Oryctolagus cuniculus: one gene and its partners. The protein of the gene in region 5 interacts with the protein of the main gene of each other region in a pairwise test. Links are inferred from orthologs where the notes say so. Each region holds a gene or a part of one and is shown on either strand. Other genes may lie near its edges. The genes, in order: BCL11A, HOMEZ, RASSF7, EIF3H, NCK2, ABI2 and HOXC4.

Region 1 (3,500 bases), about 39 Mb from region 5:
CCACTTCCCGTGCCGCTGCGCCCCGAGATCCCTCCGTCCAGCTCCCCGGGCGGCGTGGAGAAGCGCAAGCTCCCGTTCTCCGAGGAGTGCTCCGACGAGGAGGCAAAAGGCGATTGTCGGGAGTCTCCGAAGCTGAGGAAGGGATCTTTGAGCTGCCTGGAGGCCGCGTAGCCGGCCAGCCACTGCGAGTACACGTTCTCCGTGTTGGGCATGGCGGCCGGGGGCAGGTCGAACTCCTTCTCGAGCTTGATGCGCTTGGAGAAGGGGCTCAGCGAGCTGGGGCTGCCCAGCAGCAGCTTTTTGGACAGGCCCCCCGAGGCCGACTCGCCCGGGGAGCAGCCGCGGCCATTAACAGTGCCATCGTCTATGCGGTCCGACTCGCCGGCCACCGAGTCTTCGTCGCAAGTGTCCCTGTGGCCCTCGGCCTCGGCCAGGTGGCCGCGCTTATGCTTCTCGCCCAGGACCTGGTGGAAGGCCTCGCTGAAGTGCTGCATGGAGCTGAGCACCATGCCCTGCATGACGTCGGGCAGGGCGCGGCCCTCGTCGCCCACGCCCACGACCGCGCCGCGCGAGCTGTTCTCGTGGTGGCGCGCCGCCTCCAGGCTCAGCCCGAAGCCGTAGTCCACCCTCTCGCTCTCCGTCAGCTCCTCCTCCTCCTCTTCCTCCTCTTCTTCCTCTTCCTCGTCGTCCTCCTCTTCCTCCTCGTCCCCGTTCTCTGGGATCAGGTTGGGGTCGTTCTCGCTCTTGAACTTGGCCACCACGGACTTGAGCGCGCTGCTGGCGCTGCCCACCAGGTCGCTGGTGCCGGGTTCCGGGGAGCTGGCGGTGGAGAGGCCGTCGTCCGACTTGACCGTCATGGGGGACGACTTGTGCATGTGCGTCTTCATGTGGCGCTTTAGCTTGCTGGCCTGCGTGCACGCGTGGTCGCACAGGTTGCACTTGTAGGGCTTCTCGCCCGTGTGGCTGCGCCGGTGCACCACCAGGTTGCTCTGAAATTTGAACGTCTTGCCGCAGAACTCGCAGGACTTGGACTTGACCGGGGGCTGGGAGGGAGGAGGGGCGGACTGCAGAGGAGGGAGGGGGGGCGTCGCCAGGAAGGGCGGCTTGCTACCTGGCTGGAATGGTTGCAGTAACCTTTGCATAGGGCTGGGCCGGCCTGGGGACAGCGGTGGGCTAGACGTGTTCCCTGCCAGCTCTCTAAGTCTCCTAGAGAAATCCATGGCGGGAGGCTCCATAGCCATCGGATTCAACCGCAGCACCCTGTCAAAGGCACTCGGGTGATGGGTGGCCAGGGCCATCTCTTCCGCCCCCAGGCGCTCTATGCGGTGGGGGTCCAAGTGATGTCTCGGTGGCGGACTAAACAGGGGGGGAGTGGGTGGAAAGCGCCCTTCTGCCAGGCCGGAAGCCTCTCTGGATACTGATCCTGGTATTCTGAGCAGGTTAAAGGGGTTATTGTCTGCAATATGAATCCCATGGAGAGGTGGCTGGGAAGGACATTCTGCACCTAGTCCTGAAGGGATACCAACCCGCGGGGTCAGGGGACTTCCGTGTTCGCTTTCTAAGTAGATTCTTAATCCATGAGTGTTCTGTGCGTGTTGCAAGAGAAACCATGCACTGGTGAATGGCTGTTTGCAAGTTGTACATGTGTAGCTGCTGGGCTCATCTTTACCTGCAAAATAATACAACACCAACATCAATGTTTAATCACCGAGGCGGGCATCAGCAATTGCTTATTTATGTTCCGCTTCCAGCCTTTCCTGCCCCCGCCCCCACCCCCCGGCCCAACCCCACGGTCCACCCACCGCCCCCCAACCCTGGGATGGCTGCATAGTGCCTGGTGCCCTATGATTATCTGTCCAACATGGCTTCTTCCGGCCAAGGAGCTCCATTCTAAAGGATTTCATCTCCAATCCCCAAAGTAGAATTCTAGCTTGAGGAGGAGGATCTCCACACTCAACTCTCTTCTGAAGCTTCCAGTCTCACCTGCTGCAGCTCGGGGCCAGCCATTTCATCTCCTGCTCTGTTAAAGGAGGGACCTGGACAAGGCAAGCCAAGCCCTGTGCTTCCTAAATCCCCGTGTTCTGTACCCCCTGGGGGAGCAGGCAAACTTCCTAAACAGGCAATGCTTTCCCAGATATCAAAACGGAGATGGGCGACTCAACTCAGTACAATTCCCCATGCCCCTAGCGATGCTTTGCGTCCTAGCCCGAAACACAGCAAGTGTTGATTAGATTAAATATGGTGTTCGGGGAGACTTCTCTGAGAAACTCGCCACTTTCTCACATCCCAGCCCATGTGTGTCTGTGTGAGAGAGGGAGAGTCAGCGTCAGTTTTGGCTCCACAGCACCCCACAAAGACAACCATTTTTATCTCAAGGGAAGTTGTAAAAATCTCAGAAGGAAAGTATTAATTAATTCAGGGCTCACTGATAGGCTGTATCACATCTCCAGGAGCCATCGCCCTTGTGCAGTAACTACAAAGTCTAGAGAAGTTAGGGGGAGCGCCTGGTGCCAACCTCAGTAGACATGGCATCCTAGTTGAAGGCACAGTTTTCAGCAGCCAGCACCATGACAGGCAGCAGGCTGAGAAATGCTACACCAGCCTCCTCCTCATTATTTTGAGAGGCTAACAACGTGAACCAAATTATACAACATCCTGCGCCCTCGGCTGAGACTCAACTCCAGTTGAGAAAGAAACAGAAAGCTACAGTTCAGCTAGTCAACTCGTTGGCCAGTAGCCAAGCTGTCTGGAGAGGGGCCCTGCTTAAGTCACATTATTTCTCTCTTGCTGAAAAGAACCCCAGAGTGGTAAATGCCACTTTGGCAAAGAGGGGTCGGCTTGACTTCACAAAATCATTCATTTTTGGCGATAGCTAAATTTAAATATATATAGCTAGATAGCCCATGAGGGTGACTAACCAACAGTTCACCAGGCAGCTGCAGCATTAAAAAGCGCCAAAGTGATGGTGGCCAAAGGATAAGGATGAGAAAAACAGATAACGTCCCAGTGATCCCCAAAACAACAGTGCTTAGAATAATAATAACTAAGAAATAAACTTCTCGGCCGGCGCCGCGGCTCAATAGGCTAATCCTCCGCCTTGCAGCATACCGGGTCGGGGCACTGGATTCTGTCCTGGTTTCCCCTCTTCCAGGCCAGCTCTCTGCTGTGGCCCGGGAGGGCAGTGGAGGATGGCCCAAGTGCTTGGGCCCTGCACCTGCATGGGAGACCAGGAGAAGCACCTGGCGCCTGCCATAGGATCAGCGCGGTGCGCTGGCTGCAGTGTGTTGGCCGCAGCTGCCATTGGGGGGTGAACCAACGGTAAAGGAAGACCTTTCTCTCTGTCTCTCTCTCACTGTCCACTCTGCCTGTCAAAAAGAAAAAAAAAGAAAAAGAAAAAGAAATAAACTTCTCTGCCTCTTCTCCAAGCAGGGCTAGAAGGCTTTCCTTAAGCTCACAGCTAGTATTCGTCAGCAACTTTTTTCAAGAGGACAAAATTGACC
Region 2 (4,060 bases), on a different chromosome or scaffold from region 5:
GACTAGAACCTGGTGTGCCAGCGCTGCAAGGCGGAGGATTAGCCTAGTAAGCTGCGGCGCCGGCCCGCAGGCTAATTTTTAAGTTGGTACTTTTGCATGGCCCACAAATGATGTTTATATATATATATATGTATATATGTATACATGTATATGTGTGTGTGTATATATATATCTCCAAATGGCTCTTGGCAGAAAAAAAAGGTCCCTCACCACTGGTGAATGTGGAGTGGACTGGGGTGGGCCGGGGTGAGGGGGAGAAGCCTCGGCTGATGGTGAGAGTCCCATGTTTTGCAGGACAGTCCCCTGCCAGCCCTTCCAGGGACTAACACTGGAGAATGTGATGCCTGTCATCTGCCCTTTGCACGGCTCAGACATTAGCAGGGCTGACCAGAGGCACGCTCGCCCTACAGCTGGAGGCCCTGCAGGTGCAGCGTCCTCCCTGTCACAGACCTTCACCACTGGAGGAGCTGCAGCAACACGCCAACATCGTCACAGGTTTTTCTAAAACTTGGGGAAAAAAAAAACACCCCAAACTGGAATTGACTGGTATCTCCTTCTTGACTTGACCTCTGTCACATGTCCCTTTCTCAGGTGTCCACAGAGAGGTGATGGGCACTTGGAGACTGGCTGAGGGAGCTGAGGAGGGATCACGTGTACTGTGGGGTTAGTAGGTATACTTGATGGGTTTTGCAGTTACTTCTGTGAATAGAATCAATTATCCCCAGGTGGATACAGTGTTATGGATTAAACTGTGTCCTCCCAAACTTAGGGTTAATGTCCTGTCCCCCAGTACCTCAGAACGTAGCTTCGTGTGGAGTTAGGTTGTTTCTCGAGGTGATTAAGTTCAGCTGAGATGGATGAATTAGGGTGGGTCCTAACACAGTGTGACTGCTGACCTTCCACGAGGAAATCTGGGCACAGACTTGTGATGCACAGGCAGAGGGAAGACCATGAGCAGACAGCCTTCTACAATCAAGGACAGAAGCCTCAGGATGCAGTCAGCTCAGCCAGTGCCCTTGTCTTGGACCTCTAGTCTCCAGGACTGAGAAAACAAATTTAGCACACACCCAGTCTCTGCTATTTTTGTATGGCAGCCCTGAAAAATTAAATTACTTATATGTTTTAAAAATGTGTATTTACTGCCATTTTATTTGAAAGTCAGAAAGAGAGATCTTCCCTCTGCTGGAACACTCCTGAAATGCCTCAATAGCCAGCACTGGGCTAGGCCAAAGCCGGGAGCCCAGAACTCAATCTAGGCTGGCAGGCAACCAAGGACTTGAGCCATCACCCGCTGCCTCCTAGTGTGTGCATTAGCAGGAAGCTGGATCAGGGATGGAGGAGCCTAGAGGAGCTGGGACTCCAAACAAGCACTCTGATGCAAGACGGGAGTGTCTCGGCTGCTGACTTAACTTCTGAGCCAAATGCCTGCCTGTATGTTTATTTCCATTTTTTATTTGAAAGGCAGAGATCAAGCTGAGACCAGGAGCACAGAACTCAATCCAGGTTTCCCATGTGGGTGGCAAGGATCCAAGCACCTGAACCACCACTGCTGCTACCCAGAGTGTGCATCAGTGAGAAGTTGTATTGGAAGCAGAGTCAGGACTTGAACCAAGCACTCCCATACAAGTTGCAGGTGCCCCAAGCAGCATCCTAAGCACTGTGCTACAAATGTGCCTGCCCCCAAACTAATATTTATAGTTCCCATTATTCTTTTTTTTTTTTTTTTTTTTTTTGACAGGCAGAGTGGACAGTGAGAGAGAGACAGAGAGAAAGGTCTTCCTTTTGCCGTTGGTTCACCCTCCAGTGGCCGCTGCGGCCGGCGCACCACGCTGATCCAAAGCCAGGAGCCAGGTGCTTCTCCTGGTCTCCCATGGGGTGCAGGGCCCAAGCACTTGGGCCATCCTCCATTGCACTCCCTGGCCACAGCAGAGAGCTGGCCTGGAAGAGGGGCAACCGGGACAGAATCCGGCGCCCTGACCAGGACTAGAACCCAGTGTGCCGGTGCCACAGGCGGAGGATTAGCCTAGTGAGCTGCGGCGCCGGCTAGTTCCCATTATTCTTGATACTATCAATTCAGAATATATGACATTAGCCATTACAAATTCGAAAAGCTCCAAAATTTTATAGTGGTTTTACCAAGTTTGACAAAAATTCTAAACATTTATGAAAGTATCACAAGGCATGGGGGCAAAATTTTTTAAAATTAACAATACAAAAGTGATCATGTTAGAAGACTCATAGAAAACATACAATCATTATACGAAAAGGCTATCAAAGGCTGTTGGCAAAAAAAGTGGAAATATGAATAATTTTAGGCAGATATTTGGCAGCTTTTTAAAAAATTGTAATTTGTCATTCTGAAAATATCATAATTTTGTATTTAATTTTCTTAAAGGGGCTCCAAAAGTTGCATACTTCAGGTACCCAGAAGCCTGGCTCCAGCCTAGGACTACCAGATGGCCATGGTGAGTCTCTGCCTCCTTAGGGGAACTCTGCTCCAGTGCTCGTGCCCTGTCTCCTAGAAAGACCAGAGCCGCAGGCAGTGAGGCGGCCGACTACTCAGACCTGCGAGTACTGAGGCTTGGAGACAGAGTTGGGAGAGCGAAAGTTAACGCGGAAGGAGTTTGTGGCAGGAGGAGCTCAAACCTACCCCAGAAGACGTGAGGAGTCTGTGCAGGGCTTGGGGCTCCGACTCCAGGCAGGAAGCCGTGGAGAGAAGCCCTGGAAAGCCCCGCCTTACCTCTCCGTGGGTGTTTGCTCCTCATGCTGACCCTGCCCTTCAGCACTCTTAGAGCACACTGAAGAGCGGTGGGCTGGGCAGCGATGACGTCACAGGTCGGCCTTTGTGATGTAAGGAGGAGCTATCAGGCATTCCGTGCTTGGGGCTTGCCTCCTAGGAATGCTGTCACCTCATTACTTTGTGGTAATTGGATTCTCTCATCACTCAGGTGATGTGGGAGCCAATCCTGTGAGAACTTGCTCTTTCAAGGACTCCCTCTGTTATCTATTTCTATCCCTCCATTCTGGATTCCACAGAGGTCTTGCCTTCCTTTCCCCTCCGTTAGCTGTCTTACCCTTTGTTTTAGGGTAACCCCTTATTAGGGAAGGGCATTGTTCTTCCCTCCACTACTCAAGAGCAGAAAGTAACGAGATGACCCCCTAAAAGAGGAAGAATCCCCTGTGAAAAGCAGAAACAGTTTTCCCAGACTGTTCCTTTAACAACACCAACAGCTGGTGCTGGGTGCCAGGGAACTGAAGAGCCAGGCCCTGACTATGCTCCCACTACCCAAAAGGGTGGAGGGATCCTGTTGTGGTGTCTTAAACCATGGCTGCCCATCTCTCCCGTGGTCTTCTTCCATGCAACTTCCAAACAGCCAGAGGACTCCAGCAGAAAAGGAATAGGACTTTTTAAGATTTATTTATTTGAAAAGCAGAGTTACACAGAGAAGAGAAAAAAAAGAGAGAGAGATCTTCCATCTGCTGGTTCACTCTCCAAATGGCTTCAATGGCCTGGGCTGGCCCAGACTAGACAGGAATCTGGAACTCCATCCAAGTCTTCCATGGGGGTGGCACAGACCCAAACATTTGGGCCATCTTTGGCTGCTTTCCCAGGTGTATTAGCAGGGACCTGGATTAGAAGTGGAGTAGGCGGGACTCAGACTGGTGCTCATAGGGGATGATGGCATCACAGGCAGTAGATTAACCTGCTGCGATATGCCAGCAGCCCCGGAGCAGGACTTTTAGGAAATGACCAGGCTAGCATTTGTCTTAGTGGTCGACGCTGCTTGGGACGACCACATCCCATACTGGAGTGCTAGGTTCAGGTCCTGGCTTTGCTCCAGATTCCAGCTAATGAGCACTGTGGGAAACAGCAGTGGATGGCTCAAGTAGCTAGGTCCTCACCCTCCATGTGGGAGACCTGGATTAGGTTCTCAGTTCCTGGCTTCAGCCTGGGCCAACCTTGGCTATTGTGGAGATTTGAGGAGTGAACCAATGGACAGGAGCTGTCTCTCAAGGAAGGAAGGAAGGAAGGAAGGAAGGAAGGAAGGAAGGAAGGAAG
Region 3 (4,023 bases), on a different chromosome or scaffold from region 5:
CCCCGGGTCACCACCGAGTGGCTCCCCATCTGCCAGGGGCAGGGGAGCCCCCTCCCCAGCTTCTTCAGACAGCAGGCCAGACTTGGGGGCCATTCTCGGTGTTCTCGGGGGGCCGGGAGGGGTGGCTGGCCAAGCGTTCCCTGTGTCCGGTGCGTGGGCTCCTGCTGGGCCATCCGTGGGTGTCAGCAAGGCCCCAGCAGCACTGCTGAGGGGCCCCATGTGCACCTGTCCACCCCCCAGGACACCAGACCACCATCCCATGGGCACCCACCCTGACTGCCACCCACCAGGGGTAAAATGGCCCCCGCAGGGCACACACCCCCTTGTCTCTGTCCCCAAGTGCTGGCTGGTGTCCCCACCCCAGTCCAGGGCCCCAGCCCCAACACTGACCCGAGGCCTGAGCGCCCAGCAGGCCTAGGGAAGGAAGGGCTCTCTGGTTGCCGTGGATACTGGCACCACAAGTGGGTGGGGCTGTTTGTTACCAGGCACCTCCAGAGAGAACCCCCCCAGACCAGGGCTCAGCTGGAGGAGGTGCGCCCAGCCAGCCCTAGCCTGGTGCTGGTGAGGGAGTTCTGGGGGCGCCGGGCCCTGGGAGGACTGGGACAGAGAGCCAGGTGTGGAGAGAAACTAGGGCAGCCGCCGGCAGTGTACACCCCGGCACCCAGCGCCTGGTGCTCCCCTAACCGTGGGAGTGACCGCGACAGGGTTCCCGTGCGCCAGGGAACACACCGCAGCCCCACCCAGGCCAGGGGCAGGCGGGACGAGCCTGGGGTGGCACAGGCTCCGCGTGCCACCCTGGCTGCCCGGCTGCCCCCGCGGAGGGGCTCCGGGCCCGCGCCCGGGCGCGCAGGCCAAGCTGTCCGCAGGGCCCCGCCGGGGTCACAGCCCCAGCCTTCGTCCCCCGCCGCCCTGCGGGGCGCCCCCGACCCCGGGCGACCCGGCGACAGTCGCCGCGGGTCCTGAAGGAGAAGGCTGGGCGGGGGGGGGGGCGTCCCGCTGGACGGCGGCGAGGAAGTCGGCCCGGAGCCGGCACGCACCTGCCCCGCAGCGCCGCAGCGGCAGACGCTCTTCCGCGTTGTTCGCCGGCGGGAGCGGCCGGGCCTCGCCTCCCGCCGGGCCCCGCCCACACCTGGGCGCCGCGGGGGGCGTGGCGGGCGGAGAGCCAATGGGGCGGGGCGGGGCGGAGTCAGCCAATGGCCGCGGGCGCGGGGCGGGATGCACGCTGTGAGGAGCTAATGAGGGCGCGGCGGGGCGGGACGTGTGGGCCGTGGGCCAATGGGGTCGTGGAGCCGGGGCGCGCCGCGGCGCTGGGGGCGGCAAGTGGCGGCGGCGCCGAAGCGCCCCAGCGCCGGAGTCGCGGAGGCCGGCGACCGCCCAGGTGAGCTGCGCGGCTGCTCGGGCCTCGCCGGGCGCGAGGCGCGGCCGGGGCACCGACTCCGGCCGAGGAGAGTTTTGCGCGGAGCGGGGATGGGAGGGCGCGCGGGGGCCGCGCCGCACCTGCACCCTCCCGCTGCTCGGCGGGGCAGGGAGGCCGAGGTGCGGCCCGCGGGGAGCGCGGTGCGCGCGGTGCGCGCGGTGCGCGCGGTGCGCGCGGTGCGCGCGGGAGACGGAGCCCGGACCCCCCAGCCAACGCACCGAAGGGCCGGGCGCGGGGGAGGGGGCTGCCCGGGCCTGGAGTCGGGTCGGTCCAGAGGGTCCGGAGCGCCCAGGGCCGCGGGGGCGTCGCGGGCGCCCGTGGGTGCCCGGAGACCGCCGCCCTCGCTGCTGCCCGGGAGGGGCAGCGTCCTCTGAGCCAGGTGACTGGTGGGGGGGGCAGGAAATCCTGGATCTGGTTAATGATTCGCTTGGTTCCTGGAGTGGGGGCGGGGCACGGGGCGGCTGGCGCGGGGCGGGGACGCCTCCAAGTGCCCACCGGGGGAGGGCAGGACTGACCCTAAGGGCGGCAGCCCCGAGCCAGTTCCGGGGGGCAGACTGGGAGGAGAGGGCGTCCCTGCTGACCGGCGACCTGTACCTCCCCTCAGGACAGGGATGCTCTTGGGGCCGGCGGCCATGGAGCTGAAAGTCTGGGTGGACGGCGTCCAGAGGGTGGTCTGTGGGGTCTCAGAGCAGACCACCTGCCAGGAAGTGGTCATCGCACTAGCCCAGGCAATAGGTGAGTCTTTGGGGGCACAAAGGGTCTCAGGGTGCCCACCCTCTGGCCGGCCGGGTAGACGGGGCGGGGCCGTGGCTGACCCTGTGCCATTTCCCCTTTAGGCCAGACGGGCCGCTTCGTGCTGGTCCAGCGACTCAGGGAGAAGGAGCGGCAGCTGCTGCCACAGGAGTGTCCAGTGGGTGCGCAGGCCACCTGTGGACAGTTTGCCAACGACGTGCAGTTTGTGTTAAGGCGGACAGGGCCCAGCCTGGCTGGGAGGCCCTCCTCAGACAGCTGCCCACCCCCAGAGCGATGTCCAGTCCGTGCCAGCCTTCCCCCAAAGCCACGGGGAGCACCCAGCTGTGAACCCCGGAGAGCACTGACCCTCAGCCCGCAGGGCCCCAGGCCGTCCCTCGGCCCCGCGGCCCCCACGCCAGAGTGCGGCACGGACCTGCAGGGCCTGGAGCTCAGGGTGCAGAGGAACGCCGAGGAGCTCGGCCACAAGGCCTTCTGGGAACAGGAGCTGCGGCGGGAGCAGGCCCGGGAGCGGGAAGGGCAGGCCCGCCTGCAGGCCCTGAGCGCAGCCACCGCGGAGCACGCCGCCCGGCTGCAGGCTCTGGATGCCCAGGCCCGCGCCCTGGAGGCCGAGCTGCAGCTGGTGGCAGAGGCCCCCGGGCCCCCCTCAGCCGCGGCGTCGGCCGCCGAGCGCCTGCGCCAGGACCTGGCGGCTCAGGAGCGGCACAGCGTGGAGGTGCAGGGCAGCCTGGCCCTGGTGCACCGGGCCCTGGAGGCCGCCGAGCACGCCCTGCAGGTGAGCCCAGGACCCCAGCCCCAGCACCACCTCACCCGTGACGCAGGGTCTGGCTGGGGGGAGGGCCCTCCGCAGGGCAGGGCCCTCTGAGGGTCCCTCGTGCCCCCAGGCCCAGGCCCAGGAGCTGGAGGAGCTGAACCGGGAGCTCCGGCAGTGCAACCTGCAGCAGTTCATCCAGCAGACGGGGGCCGCGCTGCCACCCCCCCCGCGGCCAGAGGGGGCCTCCCTCGGCACACAGGTCAGCGTGGTTCTGGGTGGCGCCCGGGAGGCTGGAGACCCAGCCCAGCTCCAAGCTGGCCATGTTTCCGACAGGACCTTCCGCCTCCAGCCACAGAGGAGTCCCTCCTGGGAGTCCCCCGGAGTCCTCTTCTGGTCCCCAGCCTGAGCCCTGAGGGTATGTGCCCCGCCCCCCGCCCCTGCCCTGGCGGGACAAGGCCCTGCTCTGGCCTCGGCCTCACCAGCCCTGTCCTCCCCACAGTGACCCCGCTGAGGCAGAACTCCTGGAGGTAGCAGGAGCGGCACCTGCAGGCCACCCAGCCCCCGGCTCCGACGGCAGACTAGCAGATGAGCCACAGCTGCCTGGACCAGGCGGCAGGAGCGTGGGCACCCGCGGGGCGGGGGTGCCGAGGAGGACCACCCTAACCCTTGCCAGGAGCGTGGAACATGGCCCGAACTCACGTGTGCGCGTGAGTACGTGGCGAGGATGGCGTGTGCCACCCCCAGACTCCAACTTGAGAACCTCAATAAACGCCCGAGTGGCTTCACTGTGTGCCGAGGTGTGTGGAGGACGCTCTCTAGGGGCCGTGGAGCTCCTGCGGGGGGGCCTGGGAGACCGCTGCTGGGTCTGCGGTGGTCCCACGTTCTTGCTCTGTCCGGGCCTTCCCATTGCGAGACCTGCTGACCCTGTCCTGGGTTTCTCTCCCACCCAGCCTGCACCCCGCTAGCACCAGGAAGTGACAGCAGGACGAGCCAGACCCGCCTGTCAGGTTTACTGTGTCTCCCAGAGGCCTCGTGGGGGCGGGCCCAGGGCTCCCGGGAGCTGCCACTGGGGAGCTTTGCCAGCCCCAGGGAGGGGGTGGGC
Region 4 (3,500 bases), on a different chromosome or scaffold from region 5:
AAAAGTAAGTGATTTGAGTATCTCTGAAAATGACCTGAATTTAAACTGTAAGTCCAGAAAATAAGAATCTTGGCAAAAGAATCTATTCATTCTTTGTAATCATGTACCTTTAAAATGTCACTAATACTAAAATGTACTTGTCACAATAAGTTATAAGTTATGCTACACAATCTATGTCTAAAATATTTAAAATACATAGCTAGAAAAAAGTAATACAATATTTCTTTCAAGTTCATTTTAAAAGCCTCCTGACTTAAAAACAATTAACAACTAGCAGATCACTCACAGGAGACTCCACATACAACGGTTCAAAACCCAGAAGAACGTAAGTTCTCACAATGAGTTCTATCACATCTAGCCATTGGTCAGTCATAAGTTAGCTTTTCTTTTTTAATTCTAAGCACCTTAATTCTTTTTAGGGGCCAAATGAGAAATTGGAAATGAAAGCCTTATAAGTAGGACACACAAAGCCACACACTTCGATTTAATAAATAAAAATTAGCATATTCTAAATATTTAAAATTTTTAGAAAAGTAAATATTCAAATGCCATTAAACAGCATCACCAAAACAGCCCCATCAGTTAATCCTCTGCATATGTGTCACTGACAAAATTTCCAATGAGCTACATTCCCTAATGAATCCTTCAAATGTTTAAATCTCCCTCCAACCCCATGAAACAGGATCCCAGAAAAGAAGACACAGAGCTTACAATCTGACAAGTGCTGCCCACTCCTTCCATCTCCCTTTATTCAATCATTCATTTCTTCAAATCTGGTAGCTAATTAATTCCTACTCTAACTGAATTCACTCTTGGTGAGAACAACAGACGAGACATTCCATAAAGAACAATTTAAACATGGAAAGGGAGAAATCAAGTGATATTTGGCATGCAGGAAACTTGTACAGTACACATGGCAAAAGCATTACCACTCCACAACAGAGGATTCAATAAATGTGGCAAACTAAAGTCTTTAAAGAAATACCCAATTCTTCACCATAAACCTCCTAGTCCCCAAACACTTACGCTTCAGGGGAAAAATCCTTCTCTTTACAAACTTCCATCAGCTTGGGAGTCAGTCTGTATGCCTTTAGTGACAGGGACCCTTGGGCAGTTTTTATGGGATCTTGAATAACAAAAAAGAGAACGAAATTCTAAGAATTTTGCTACTACTCGTGCTCACATGACACTGATTCTAGGCTCGGTGTTACTTATACGAATCTTGCAAAATGAAGATCAAAATGATTAATCAGAACACAACTTGAAGTAGACTGAAACCAATACAGCAAACAATAGGCAAAAATCTAGGAAATCTTTATATCCTTGTAATAGGTAGAATAACTTCCTCCCATTAAAAAAAAAAAAGATTCAAAATAGACTTGATATTTTCAAATTCACTCCTCAGCTAAAACCAGTCAGCTTATTGAAAACTTAATTATCAAGCTCTATGCATCTTGTATAATTAGGAAGAAAATACTGATGAGTATTAAACCTGAAAATTTGCTTCATGTACTGTGTTCTTCAGTCAACTAATTTAAAATGCAAACAAACTTTATCCACCCTAATAATCACTGTTCACATTTCTTAATTAAAGCAGATTCTAAAAACATAACCACTAAGTCGGAATGCCATCACATAAGTGTTTTTGTTGTTGTTGTTGTTGTTGTTGTTGTTTTTTAAGTTTTAGAGAAACAAATTTTGTCAAAACTAACTGCTTAAACACTCCACGGGTAAGGGAGCTTAGCACTTGGAGCATGATAACGGCTCTGCCATGCCAATATTCGCCTAAAACCTGTGTTAACATTCATGTTGTCTGAAATTTAACACAGTGAAACTTTTAGCAATAGGTGATAAAATGAAAACCAAAATAGATTGAAACAAGTGGAAAATTCATCAAGGTCTGATGATGCAATGTTTCCAGCCAATATAAGTACACTTTAACAACTTGTTCTTTACTGTAATCCAATTGTTAACATACTGAAACAATTTTGGGGCAGCTCATAAGATTGATCGTATTCATTAGTATTTTTTCTGACAGATACTCAGGACGTTACATTTACTTCTCAGCTGGAAACTATATGCAAGTCTGCCAGATATGGCAAACTGTGAGTGTTTGGGGAGGGGGAAGGCTATAAAGCTGTTAAATTGCCTACAGTTCTGATACAGCACAGAACATCTGGTCTGGAGAGCTTGAGGAAACACCATTAAAAAGGCCGAAAAGAAAAAAATCTTTGTGCTAAGAAACAGTCCAGGTTTTGTACGCTGCTGTCAGAGGTATTAAAAAAAAAAAACTTGGCACACTGTGTTATGATTGGTCAGTCACGTACGGAGCCAGACACTGCAGCAATCGGGGTTTGTTAGACATCTGGTCTAGTTCCACCAGCCCCTTCAATGAGGGAGGGGAGATGGAGGAATAAAAATGAAGCAGCTACTCCAGCATTCCAAAATGTACACATCAGGGCTCTGATAGCAAGAAAAATAAACAGAAAGAAGGAAACCCTGTCTAGACTGAGCTGCTGCTGAGGCTGCTGCAGAAACAGGCTTGGTATTTACTTGAGAAGGCCTGCCAGGCTGCTCTCAGAGGCAAAAAAAAAAAAAAAAAAAAGGCAGAAAGCAAAAATAGTAGTAATAATAGTGAAGTATTAAGAGAAGAAAATACTAATAAAGGAATCTCCTACTAACCGTAAATGAGAACAACAGATTCTTCAATGGCATGCTGGTAACTGAACTGAGAATCCAGGAGAGCCCGGGTGACGAATGAACCATAGTATGTGGACTGGTACCAGCCCACGTGGAGGTGATCAATGTTTACATGGCGAAGGCTCCGCATCATTTCCATCTGATACTGGACTGGATGACGGGAAGAAGGGGAAGTAAAAGGGGAAAAAAAAAAAAAAAAAAACCTTAATGATGCCACCAACATTAAAAACAAGCCTTTTTGGAAACAAATTTTTATAAAACTATTTATTAGCTATAAGGAAAAGCTTTCCAGATTGAAAAGTCATTCCCAAGCTTTCAAATTACTGAGCCTTTCCTTTTTTCTTTAATGAAAAAACATTTTGTAGAAAAAATATTAAAAGCACAGTACTAATGTCTTGTTCTAAACAAGAAAGTTATTTATTAAATGTGGTTTCCACTTTCCTTTTTAAAACTTTAAAAACCCTAAATATGTAGGAGAAAACCTATGCAGTTATTGAACTGGTTGATTCTAAGAAATTTCAGTTGGAATATAAGTAAGAATAGTTATCAATCTATTCAATACAGTTCTTAGAACTGAAAAAAATCATCATGAAAACTAAGGGGAAAACAATCAGCTATGACATTACTTATTATGAACTGGATACAGGCTGCAGCTGATTTAAAATATAAGCATTCATTTTTGCCTTCATCTGGTGCCCCCTGCTGCATATACTACATTTTAAAAAGACATCTTTTTTCTAGTACAAATTATCCTTTGTGTTAAGTAATAGACACCATTTTTTCATTAGAATAGGGTCACA
Region 5 (4,110 bases):
GCAGAGGTTGAGAACATGACAAGGGTCCAACAGCCTGCAATGAAGGTTTAAGTCCCCAGCATGTTACTCAAAGCCTGAAAACTGACCAAGCTACTGGAAATGCACCTTCCACCCATGCCTCTATTTACAAAGGGTCAGTTTCTCTCAACTGGGCCAAGAAGATTACAATGCAGCCAATTTTGCCAAGTCAGTTTCACCCGCCTGTCAGGACCGCTGGCAGTGTTTACACAGCAGCTGAGACTCCCTGAACCCAGAGGAGCAAACCCAGCACTGCCTAAAGCTGCCATCTCACCCTCCGGTGGCCACCACAAGGCCACCAAGACCCTGCCACTCTCCTCGTGTCAAGGAGAGAGCTACTCAGGCAGGACCTGCCCCTGTGGTCACTTCTTCTCAAGCGGGGAGACCGCCCCTCCTCAGGAAAGCCCTCCTGCGAACATCCATGCACCTGCACCCCCCCTCCTGGACCTCGGCCCCGGTGCTCTCTGCCTGCCACTCTTCACATAAACCACACACACGCTGGGAGCCTTTATCTGGGCACAGGTGGTGAGTGCACTAAGGGCGTGTTCTGAGGCACAGCTCAGATCTGGTTTGATAAGTTAAGGCAGCCCGGGTTAATTTCATTTTCCGCCACTTTCAAGACTTGGGGGAAAAAAATAACTCTGTAGGTAACTTAATCAAAAACAGCAGCAGGAAACACAGCCCCCGATTGGTTCTCACGGCTACACAAAAACCCTTCCCGAACTGCCAGGACTGGGGCGGGCCAGGAAGGGACTCCCTACCTGTGGGTCCCCAGAAAGCCACGCCCACCAGCCCCTCCCCCTGGGTTCGGTCTCTCCCTGGGTCAGTGCAAGGAGCAGGCCTGGGTAATGGTGTAGGCCCTTCCGGACGCGACTGGGGCCCACTCACCCCATGATGCCCATGCAAACTTGGCACAAAGCCTCAAACCTGTTGGCCAAATAAGGGAGGCACTGCCACCCCCGCCCCTGCTTTGTCCTGAGGAGGCTGACTTAGCCAGGTGCCTGCTGGCCACCAGCCAGTGACCCCCCAGCCTCCGCCCACAGCCGGTCCCAGGCGATCGGCATTGTCCACAAAGTACAGCGTTATCCCACACAATGCGAAGCCCACACGGCGCCCACGCGGCAGCCGTCGTGGATGCTTTCAGAGTCACACAGGACGTTTTTCCAGGACCCCCTGGCGGTTCCATCGCCCGGAACGCAGAGCGACCGGGAGAAACTTTGGTACAAGTGGCTGGCTCCAAGGGTGCCCTGAAAATCCGCGGCAGGGCGCAGACCCTGAAACCCGCACAAAAGCGCCCAGCGCCGGGCCGTCGACCCTCCCTTACGCGACGTGACAGCAGCTTTGTGTGGGATCAGAAATAGTTGCAATCAACACACAGTTAAGTTCTCCGGGTGCATCGTGACCCCCCGCGTCCCTGCGACCCGGAGATTCCTCCCCCGGCGACCGCGGCCGCCGCTCGGTCCCACGCCGACCCCGGCCCCGGCCCCGTGCCTGCCGCCGTCCGTCCCGCAGGCCGGGCACTCCCTGCGCACCGGAGGTGTCCAGTCCCCGGGCCCCGCCGCCCGGCCCCTGCCCAGCTCCTCGCCCGCGCGCCCTTGGAGGGCGCCCCTGCCCCCAAGCCGGCCTCTGGGGGTAGGGTGGGGGGCCCGGAAGGCGGGCAGGAAGGTGCGGAGCCTGGAGGTGCCGAGCAGTCCACAGCCGGTGGGGAGGGCGCCCAGGCCGCAGCGGGGGCGAGGGCACCGGCGGAGCGCGGAGGGGCCCCACTCCCCCAGCCCCTCCCTGGGCGCGTCCCGGCCCGCGGGCCCCGCCGCGCTTCCAACTCCGCCGAATGGGCCCCCAAGTTTGCGGCGCACACACTTACCTCGCCACGGGCCGCCCACCGAGGCCGGAGGGCAGCGGCGCGGGTCCCGGGGCGGCGGCGGCCGCGCTGCGCCCGCCCAAGCGCCGCTCTTTGTCTGCGCCGCTCCCGCGTCTTGCCGCCGGGCGGACCCCGCCGGCCTGGGCGCCGCGAGCCTCCCCGCCGCTCGCCGCCCGTTCGGCCGCGCGGCTCCGGCCTGAAGCTCCCGGAGGCGGCGGCGGAGGCGGCGGCGGCGGCGACCCTCCCCCGGCGCGCAACGCCCGCCTCCTCCGCTCTCTTCCTCGTCCGCCCGCGCTCCTCCCCGGCCGCGCCGTGACGCCGCCCAGGGGCCGGCCCAGGCCCCGCGCGCGCACGGGGCGGGGGCCCGACACCCACCTGGGGGCGCCCCCGGGCTCCGCCGAGCTCCGCGGCCCGGCCCCGGAACGCGCCCGGCTTAGCCCGGGGCTGGAGAACGCTGCGCTGCGGGGCGCCGCGGGGCCCTGCGGGGCGCCGAGCGCTAGGCTAGGTCCCCGCGCCCGCACTTGCGGGGGCGGGGTGGGGACGACCGTAAAAATGCAGGCATTAACTTCCAGCCCCGGAGGCCGGCCGGGTGGGCTTCGCGTGCTCTTTTTGTTGTTTGTTTAATTCTCTTACCGCCACGCGCGAGTTGGAGAGGAGACCGCGCCCCCCCCTCCCGGAAGCATTCCCACGGCGCGCTCAGCGCAGCAGGCCTGTGGTCCATCAGAAAAGTGACTTCCAGCAAAATGTCACTTCCTCCCTGTGATTGCTTGCGGGCATTTTTATTTTTATTTGGCTTGCGTCTATTTACTTTCCCAACCAGACACGTTTTTAGTCCATTCGTCCCTGGCGGAGGCGCTTCCTAAGGGGAGGAGCGGAACTCCGACCTCTGATGCCTCCCAGGCACGCAAGCCCGCTCCAGCCGCCGGGAGTCGGGTTGCACAGCCCCGGGAGCAGAGCCCAATCAGGAGCCGCCTGCCCCTGGGCCCCTGCGGGTACCGTGAGGGGTGGGCCCGACCGGCTCACCCAGCCTCACCCCGCCTGGAGTTGTGTGGCCCAGTAAACAAACTTGGAAGCTGGAAACCCGAGAGCAGAGGCAGAGACCGGAGAGCTCCCCTTCCGGATGCGTCCAGATGTCTTTTCTCCAAACTCCTTCTCCCCGTGGTTTCCCAGAGGAAACCCTAATGTTCCAAGGATTCCAAAGCCCTGGTGGGATCGCCTGCATCCGTGTCAGTGAGATGCTTTCTTTGGCTCCTGGCTTCTGATCTTCAGGAAAACAGTAATGTTTCACCCAAGGAGGCAAGGCAACATTCTTTGATTGACTCCCTCCCCCAAAGCACCCAAGAATGGGTAAGTAGAGTCCCCGGAGCTCCGTCATCAGTGGCCTGCTGGACTGTGGACTTCTGACCTGTGTAACCTCACACAGGGATTTCTTGACTTTTCTCAAGTCTGTGAAATGGGGAGATAATATCTACCTACCTCCAACAGTACCAGGGACACGCCTTGGCGACAGGTCACCCTTGAATAGCTCAGTATGTGGAAGGAGGTACACTACCTTGAGCAGAGATCAAGTTCAAGATCTGGGACTCAGGACAGCCTCCTGTTTGACTCTGGGAAAGAAGCTACCAAAGCTCATCCTTTAGTGCAAGTCTCATCTTAGGAGTGAGGAAAGCAGAATTTTAGTCCATAGTCGGCCCAAATTTCAATGGGCTTACTCCAAATACGTAGAGCAATATTGACCCTTGTTTGCTTTGTAAAATCTCAGTCATGGTTCTCCTCTTCCTCCTCTGATTCTTTGAAAAACTCACTGATGCCACTCTCTAAACCTTAATCCTACAGGGTCTGCTGAAGCACGTGGCATTTCTACCTCCTGAAACTCCATCATCTTTCCATTGATCTTAGATGATTGATTTTGGTCCTATTGCCTTCTGGCCCGCCCATATTTTCTCCTTATAGGAGGTCTGTTGTCTTCCTTCCTCGATTCCCAAAGCAATCAAGGTTTTAGTCTGATGTGTCCTTTTTTTTTTTTAGTTAACCACCCGCCTGAACTTTAAGAAGAAATTATTTAGTTTTTGTTTGAAAGGCAGAGGGACAGAGAGATAGCCTCCATCTGCTGGTCCACTCCCCGGATGCTTGCAACAGCCAGGGCTGGGCTAGGAACTGGGATCCTATCCAGGCCTCCCACGTGGGTGGCAGCAACCCAAACACCAGAGCCATCATCTGTAGCTTCCCAGGGT
Region 6 (3,500 bases), on a different chromosome or scaffold from region 5:
GATTTCACCTAATGTTGTGTTAAAAGCTAAGCAGAGCCTGTATTTAAATTATTTTTGAGTATTTGAAGAGAGAATGTTTCCTTCCTAGAATTGATTATATTATGGGTATAATTTTCCCTTTTCCTGGACAATACACATTTATACATCAGAAATATTTTGTTTAGAAATTATTTTTCTAATACAGTTCAAATTGGGGGTAAAATCCTAGTCCAAGGTAATGGTTTATTATAAATTGCAGTCTAATTTTTAATTTCCGTTTTTTTCCAGAAAATTTTTGCGGTCTTTCTTATTGCAGTTGAACTTAGACTGTCTTTCTCAAGAAGGTTGTATAGATGATAAAGTTCTGTCTAACATGTTATGAGAATCTTGAGCTGTAGTTTGCTCCTACAGATTTAGGCTCTGGATTTGACTTTTGCAAGCAGAAATGGTCAATTAATGGAAAAGCCTGACATTCTTCCATGGCCTCACACTGTAAACATGGTTTATCTTGATCGAGATTTGTATTTGCTTGGGCATAATGTAGCCCAGAAGCCAGAGGAGTGCACCTGTGGGCTGGTTCTGCAGCTTATTGTGTGTTCCTGCCTGCTCAGCCTCTAAACAGTTCAGTTTTTTCATCTGTAAAAGGGGGTAATATTTGTCCTTTATAAACTTTTCAGGGTCACTGTACCACAATTTGGATTTTTAAAAAAATGTATAAAACAAAGACAATATGTTTTGAATACCATTGGCTATAGGATATATGGCAAACAAATTTTAATTGACAATCGTTTTTTGGCCCCCTCACCAAAAAAAAACAACCAAAAAACACAAAGTACAAAAACAAGATAAACAACAAAACCGAAAATCCAGTCAAGCACTGTGGCACTGTGGGTCAGGACAGGATAAAGATGATTGGGATATAAGGGAGGATAATGTTGGGGGAGGAAGTATAGTTAAGACAGTGAAAGACAAAAGAATAAAAGAATAAAAATTATTTCCAGTCAGGAATAGGACGGCTTTATTTGAGATAGACAAAAAATTTTTCTTCTTTGATTAGAAAGGAATTAATCTAATGGACCAAACTTGAGGGTAGCATGCAAGTGAGATGTTCACGCACAGTGGGACAGGGATGAGGGTACAGTGATCAAGAGGAACTGTTCATTCATGTAGAACATTTACATTCCTATCACATATATGGCCTAGAGGGTTTTAGTAGGTATTAAATCAGCAGGATAACCTGCTGCATGTCCAAGAAGAAAGTTTTGTACTCTGATATTTTGAAGATTTACTCAGGCATCAGTATTTGTTTTCTTCGTGTAACAGCATTGGTCGTGTCGCATCTTTGTAGACTGTAGGGTTGCTGAGCCACGTGGCCGTTAGATGGTCGGAGCCTGCTTTTTGGGCATAGTCTTTGTCTAGTCACCGTGTTTGTTCTTCTGCCTTGGTGGTGGTGGTGGTGGTGGTGGTGTTCTTGTTGGTTTTTGTACCTTAATTGTATCATTGCTTCCACTCTGTAGTTCTCAGTCAGTAAAGGTTTTCTTCTTGAAGAAAACAGCATTTTTATTGTCTGGGAAAAATTACCTAAAAATCATGTCTCTGGAAGTTGCTCAGTTTTCTGCTTAGTCATTTATATTTGCATTAAAATTTCAGAAATGTTTGACATTCTTTTCAGTATTTTAAACCCAAACTCCTGACATTTCTTTTTTTTTCTTTTGGCCCAATATTCCATCAAGTGCACCATATTTATTTTTAATTATTTATATGTATATATTTATGCAAGGAGAATCTGCAGCTCTCAGATTCAGCAGGGTTGTTGCAAAATTATCTCATTCAAAATCAATTAGCCATCATTTAAGGGCCCAGGAGAACAGTGTTTAAAAGCACTCTTGGAGCCTTTTGATAAATGAATTATTGAGAAAAATACGTAAGTCATTTGAGTAGCATTATTTCAGGAAAACAAAACTTTAATTTTCAAACCTTGAGATGCCAGTTTTAATTTTTTTAAAAAAAAGACGAGTCTCATCTGTAAGATGTCAGCTTTTTAAAATTTTTAAAAGATTTATGTATTTATTTGAGAGGTTTGAGAGGTAGAGTTACAGAAAGGGGGAGTGACAGAGAGAAAGGTCTTCCATCTGCTGGTTCACTCCCCAAATGGCCGCAACTGGGGAGCTGGGCTGATCTAAAGCCAGGAGCCAGGAGATTTTTCTGGGTGTGCCACGTGGGTGCCAGGGACCCAAGCACTTGGGTCATCTTCTACTACTTTCCCAGGCCATAAGCAGGGAGCTGGAATGGAAGAAGGGCAGCCAAGATACAAACCGGAGCCCATATGGAATGCTGGTGCTGCAGGCAGTGGCCTTACCCACTATGCCACAGTGCTGGCCGCTCTGGTGGTCTTGTTAAAATTTTTTTTTTCTCTACCACTTGTAAATGTTGAACTCTGAGGTTGAGAAGAGGAAAGGGATATCAAGGTGTAAGTTGAGGGGAAAAAGTGAGGTTGTGAGTGTGGAAGATGAGATTAAATTGTGTGTTTTGTGTACACATATACTTTAATGTATTTAGTATCTAGAAAGGGAAATGAGTTGTTGTGGGTGGTATCGATAGGCAGTATGGGGGTTATGGATTCAAAACTCGAGGCTTGTGGTCCCCCTGTTAGGTTACCCTAGGTGAGGGAGGGAGGGGAGAACGATAGTAGGAACATTCATGCAATGCAGCTGGGAGACGGTGACATACTACAATAATCTCTTCTAAGAGTTGGGTCTAGGACACATTGGCATACATGGTGGAGAACCTTGTGTTCTCAGAAAAGTAAATGAACAAAATTGCATTAGCACAGGGAAATGAGGTTGGAGATGGCAAATTAACAATACGTGCTCACCAGAACCCTAATGATGGAGAAGTAAATCTTTAGGAAAGACTGCAATTGGTAGCTGGGTTATGTTAAAAGACATTTCCTCTCTCATTTTCCAATTGTATTGCACTACTGGCAGCTCTGAGTTTATTGTGCCGAAACTTGCTTAATCACACACTACATACGCTCTTCTTTTTGTAGGCGGCACTCCCCCTATCGCACACTGGAGCCAGTGCGTCCTCCAGTGGTACCAAATGATTACGTACCTAGCCCAACCCGTAATATGGCTCCCTCGCAGCAGAGCCCTGTGAGGACAGCTTCTGTGAATCAAAGAAATCGAACTTACAGGTATTTTCTCTACCTCAGCGCAAAATGTGATGGTCATAGTACCATGATCCGGTTAGCTAACCTCGATTCAGTCTCTCTCATTTTCTACGCGCTCAGTTCTTTTCCTCACTCTATTCTCCCAAACCTCATCTGATTCCACCTCTCTCTCCTCATGTTCTGATGCCACTTTGAACAGTCAGGAAGCCGAATACAAGCAGAGACAAATCCAAGTGCAAATTGCTCTATGAGGTTATTAGTTTAATTGATCTGCAAAAAAAATTATGGACCAAATGTGGGAAATTTCTAGTTGTTTTTTGGTGGAACTTTACAGATGAAAAACTATACA
Region 7 (2,899 bases), on a different chromosome or scaffold from region 5:
ACTTGGCTGCTTCAGAATCACCAGCTCCAAACCTTTCTTCTTCTAAGAGATGGGGAATGTCGGGGAGGGGGCCGGCTCCCCCAGCCCTCACCCCCAGGAGCCCTGGAGGCTCCAAACTCCTCTGCACATCAGGCAGGGCCCACTCAGCAGAGCCCAGGGAGGACAGTGAAGACAAAAAGAAAGGACAGAGGCTAATATAGAAAAGTGAGGACCCCCAGTTCCACCGACAGTACCCCAGAGGGGGTCTGGCCTCCCCGCAGACGGGGGAGGGGGGAAGCCTTAATCCTCCCCATCCTCTCTCCTCCCAAGACCTCCCTTACCCCCAAAAACCCCTTGCTGCTGCTTCTAAGGACACCCGGGAGACTACAGTTGGGAGTTCAGATTTGTGTGTTTGCTCAGAGTAAACTCAGGCAACTCTGGAGGAGGTGGGGCAGCACCAGGCCAGAAGGAGGAAGAGGAGGAGGAGGAGGGGCACAAAAAGAAACCATCAGACATTGCCGTAAAACTAATTCACATCCACTGGTTTATTATCGATCACGGGGCATTTCACATCGACACTAAAATTCTTTATTGCAAGTTTTACAATAATCAAGTAAATTCAGTCCAAAAAACACAACGACCACGACGGGGGTGGGGGGCGATCCTACCTACAGACCCTCTCTCTGAACTGAAAGTTCATCTTGGTTTTCCTTTTGGCCTCTGGAACTGAGCAGCTCAGAGAGGCTCCTCAGATGCATTTCAGCTTTGTCTGTCGTCTCTCCCCCCTCCTCCCACCCCCCCACAATAATACAAAAGAACTTCATAGCTTTGTTCTCCTTAAAATGACTTCCCCCTCACTAACCTCCCTGGTGCATTTTCAATGCAAAAGGCCTAAGGAAAGTGGGGGGAAGGAGGAGAAGGGTGAGAATTGGCTTAAAAATCTCTCTCTCTTTTTCCTTTTTTCTTTTCCTCATTTCCCCTGAAATTCACCCAAACCAGACCGTCGCACTTGCAATATATAATTTTTGCAGCTTTTTTTTCTCCTTAAAAAATAAATACCCCCCCAATCAATGGCCTTAAAAAAAAAAAAACCCAGCAGGTACCATGCTAAAGACAACATTACATGCTTGACAGTGGAAGGGAACAGGGCAGAGAGAGTGTTTATCTGTTTTTGTCTGTTTGGAATTGACAAGGGACAAGGTGGGAGGAAGCGAGAAAAGAACCAAAATATATATATATATTAAATTCTATAAATAAGAGTCAGTTTGTGTGTGAGGGGAGGTGGGGGCCCGGGGTGGGGGCAGGGGTGTGAGCGCCGTTTTATAACCTGGTAATGTCCTCTGCCCGCGGCTGCTCCGGCGGCGTGGCGCTCTGGGAGTGGTCCTCAGAAGGGCCCGGGGTGGCTGCCGACAGGGCGCTGGGCGCGGCGCCGGCCGGGGGCGCTGACCTGACTTTGGTGTTGGGGAGGCGGTGGTCCTTCTTCCATTTCATGCGGCGGTTTTGGAACCAGATCTTGATCTGCCGCTCGGAGAGGCACAGCGAGTGGGCGATCTCGATCCTTCTCCTCCGGGTCAGGTAGCGGTTGTAATGAAACTCTTTCTCTAATTCCAGGACTTGCTGCCGCGTGTAGGCTGTCCTCGAGCGCTTGGGTTCCCCTCCGTTATAATTGGGGTTCACTGGGGGGGAGGGGAGGGGAAAAGCAGAGAGTGGGGTTCAGAGGCGGCAGGCTCCCCAGCCCCCACCCTCACCCCATCCTCAGCTCTGAGGAACAGGAGGCGGGAGCGGTGGAAATGAAGTCATCAAGCTAAATGGGTTATAAAGAAGTTGAAGGAAGCTGGCGACTTTGTAGTGTAATAAGAGGGGAATCCTCATTGTAACGACACTGAATTATTTATGCGCCCTTAGAAAGCGAGCATAGTTTTCACACATACATAACAGATCGTAGCACATGGCTCGGACTGCCCAGAGTAGCTAAGCCATAAAATTTATGGGGGATGTAATTACCCATTCTCGCTCGTAAATCCAGTTCAATTGTGCTAACCCAGAGTCGCTCCTGGAGAGAGAGGGGGAAGGAGAGAAAAGAGGACGGGGCCGGAGGGGGCCGGGGAGGGTGGGGAGCGCCGGGGAAGGGGGGGGGAGCAAAGCGCAAAGTTGCCTACCCGTGCTCACGTGGATTTTCTTCATCCATGGGTAGACTATGGGCTGTTTGCTGGCGGCGCTGGAGGGGTGGTCGGGGGCTGGCTGGCTGCAGGCTGGCGGGGCTGGGGACGGGGAGGCGGAGGCGCCCGAGAGAGGCGCCGGCTCACAGAGCGGCTGCGATTTCTCGGGGTGGTGGTGGCCCGCCTGGGCCGGCCCGTGGCCTCGCGAATTGCCCGGCCCCTGGAGACTGGTGCAGCTATACTGGCGCTCGGGGTAGCTGGGGCGCGGAGGCGGTGGTGGGTACAGCTCCTGGTGGTGATGCTGGAATCCCGATTCCCTGGTCCGGCCGTAATATTCCGGACTGTGTTCAGGGATGTAGCTATTTTGCGAATATTCTTCGCATGGAGGAAATTTCGGATCGATGTAGTTAGAGTCCATCAAATACGAGCTCATGATCATTAATTTCTGGAGTGGAAAATAATTTTTCTCGCTTTGTCGTTTTTCTGCTCCATAAAGCCCTCCTACTAGCTAGCGACCCTGTAAAGTTACTTTCACCATGTGACTCCGCCGGCCAATCACACGGAGCAACCCAGTCCCCGGATAAGGAACCGAATCGCTTTATTCAAAATGTATCCAATTTTTTGTGTGTGTGGTGGTGGTGCTGCTTGGGGGGGGGCAGTGATGTGGGGTTAGCTGGCAGAGGCTGGGATGCCCCCCCCCCAGCACACACACCCCTCCAGACTGGCAGTCTCTTCCTGCTCGCGGCTCCAGCTCCACAGCC

Evidence for each region.
Region 1: the proteins of NCK2 (region 5) and BCL11A interact in binary tests that used the Homo sapiens proteins (3 or more experiments, as listed by UniProt). The two-hybrid records come from large-scale screens. The link is inferred for Oryctolagus cuniculus from reciprocal best matches to the Homo sapiens genes NCK2 and BCL11A.
Region 2: the proteins of NCK2 (region 5) and HOMEZ interact in binary tests that used the Homo sapiens proteins (3 or more experiments, as listed by UniProt). The two-hybrid records come from large-scale screens. The link is inferred for Oryctolagus cuniculus from reciprocal best matches to the Homo sapiens genes NCK2 and HOMEZ.
Region 3: the proteins of NCK2 (region 5) and RASSF7 interact in binary tests that used the Homo sapiens proteins (3 or more experiments, as listed by UniProt). The two-hybrid records come from large-scale screens. The link is inferred for Oryctolagus cuniculus from reciprocal best matches to the Homo sapiens genes NCK2 and RASSF7.
Region 4: the proteins of NCK2 (region 5) and EIF3H interact in binary tests that used the Homo sapiens proteins (3 or more experiments, as listed by UniProt). The two-hybrid records come from large-scale screens. The link is inferred for Oryctolagus cuniculus from reciprocal best matches to the Homo sapiens genes NCK2 and EIF3H.
Region 6: the proteins of NCK2 (region 5) and ABI2 interact in binary tests that used the Homo sapiens proteins (3 or more experiments, as listed by UniProt). The link is inferred for Oryctolagus cuniculus from reciprocal best matches to the Homo sapiens genes NCK2 and ABI2.
Region 7: the proteins of NCK2 (region 5) and HOXC4 interact in binary tests that used the Homo sapiens proteins (3 or more experiments, as listed by UniProt). The two-hybrid records come from large-scale screens. The link is inferred for Oryctolagus cuniculus from reciprocal best matches to the Homo sapiens genes NCK2 and HOXC4.

What each region holds. Positions count from the first base shown.
Region 1 is NC_091433.1:142,200,592-142,204,091, reverse strand, and holds part of BCL11A (B-cell lymphoma/leukemia 11A), read right to left. Parts: intron 1,670-3,500; coding exon 1-1,669. UniProt on the Homo sapiens protein: Transcription factor. Associated with the BAF SWI/SNF chromatin remodeling complex. Binds to the 5'-TGACCA-3' sequence motif in regulatory regions of target genes, including a distal promoter of the HBG1 hemoglobin subunit gamma-1 gene.
Region 2 is NC_091443.1:51,744,413-51,748,472, reverse strand, and holds the start of HOMEZ (homeobox and leucine zipper protein Homez), read right to left. Parts: upstream 2,801-4,060; 5' UTR 2,766-2,800; coding exon 2,651-2,765; intron 1-2,650. UniProt on the Homo sapiens protein: May function as a transcriptional regulator.
Region 3 is NC_091432.1:215,385-219,407, forward strand, and holds RASSF7 (ras association domain-containing protein 7), read left to right. Parts: upstream 1-1,223; 5' UTR 1,224-1,235; coding exon 1,236-1,378; intron 1,379-1,648; exon of another isoform or gene 1,649-1,796; intron 1,797-2,021; coding exon 2,022-2,152; intron 2,153-2,253; coding exon 2,254-2,942; intron 2,943-3,051; coding exon 3,052-3,180; intron 3,181-3,254; coding exon 3,255-3,336; intron 3,337-3,420; coding exon 3,421-3,452; 3' UTR 3,453-3,711; downstream 3,712-4,023. Other genes in the region: LMNTD2 (lamin tail domain-containing protein 2), read right to left, coding at 1-93. UniProt on the Homo sapiens protein: Negatively regulates stress-induced JNK activation and apoptosis by promoting MAP2K7 phosphorylation and inhibiting its ability to activate JNK.
Region 4 is NC_091437.1:142,277,377-142,280,876, forward strand, and holds part of EIF3H (eukaryotic translation initiation factor 3 subunit H), read right to left. Parts: intron 2,851-3,500; coding exon 2,683-2,850; intron 1,127-2,682; coding exon 1,027-1,126; intron 1-1,026.
Region 5 is NC_091433.1:102,853,616-102,857,725, forward strand, and holds the start of NCK2 (cytoplasmic protein NCK2), read right to left. Parts: upstream 2,801-4,110; 5' UTR 2,510-2,800; intron 2,152-2,509; exon of another isoform or gene 1,880-2,151; intron 1-1,879. UniProt on the Homo sapiens protein: Adapter protein which associates with tyrosine-phosphorylated growth factor receptors or their cellular substrates. Maintains low levels of EIF2S1 phosphorylation by promoting its dephosphorylation by PP1.
Region 6 is NC_091434.1:36,665,846-36,669,345, reverse strand, and holds part of ABI2 (abl interactor 2), read left to right. Parts: intron 1-3,028; coding exon 3,029-3,175; intron 3,176-3,500. UniProt on the Homo sapiens protein: Regulator of actin cytoskeleton dynamics underlying cell motility and adhesion. Functions as a component of the WAVE complex, which activates actin nucleating machinery Arp2/3 to drive lamellipodia formation.
Region 7 is NC_091442.1:57,015,260-57,018,158, reverse strand, and holds the end of HOXC4 (homeobox protein Hox-C4), read right to left. Parts: 5' UTR 2,578-2,899; coding exon 2,139-2,577; intron 1,656-2,138; coding exon 1,300-1,655; 3' UTR 501-1,299; downstream 1-500. UniProt on the Homo sapiens protein: Sequence-specific transcription factor which is part of a developmental regulatory system that provides cells with specific positional identities on the anterior-posterior axis.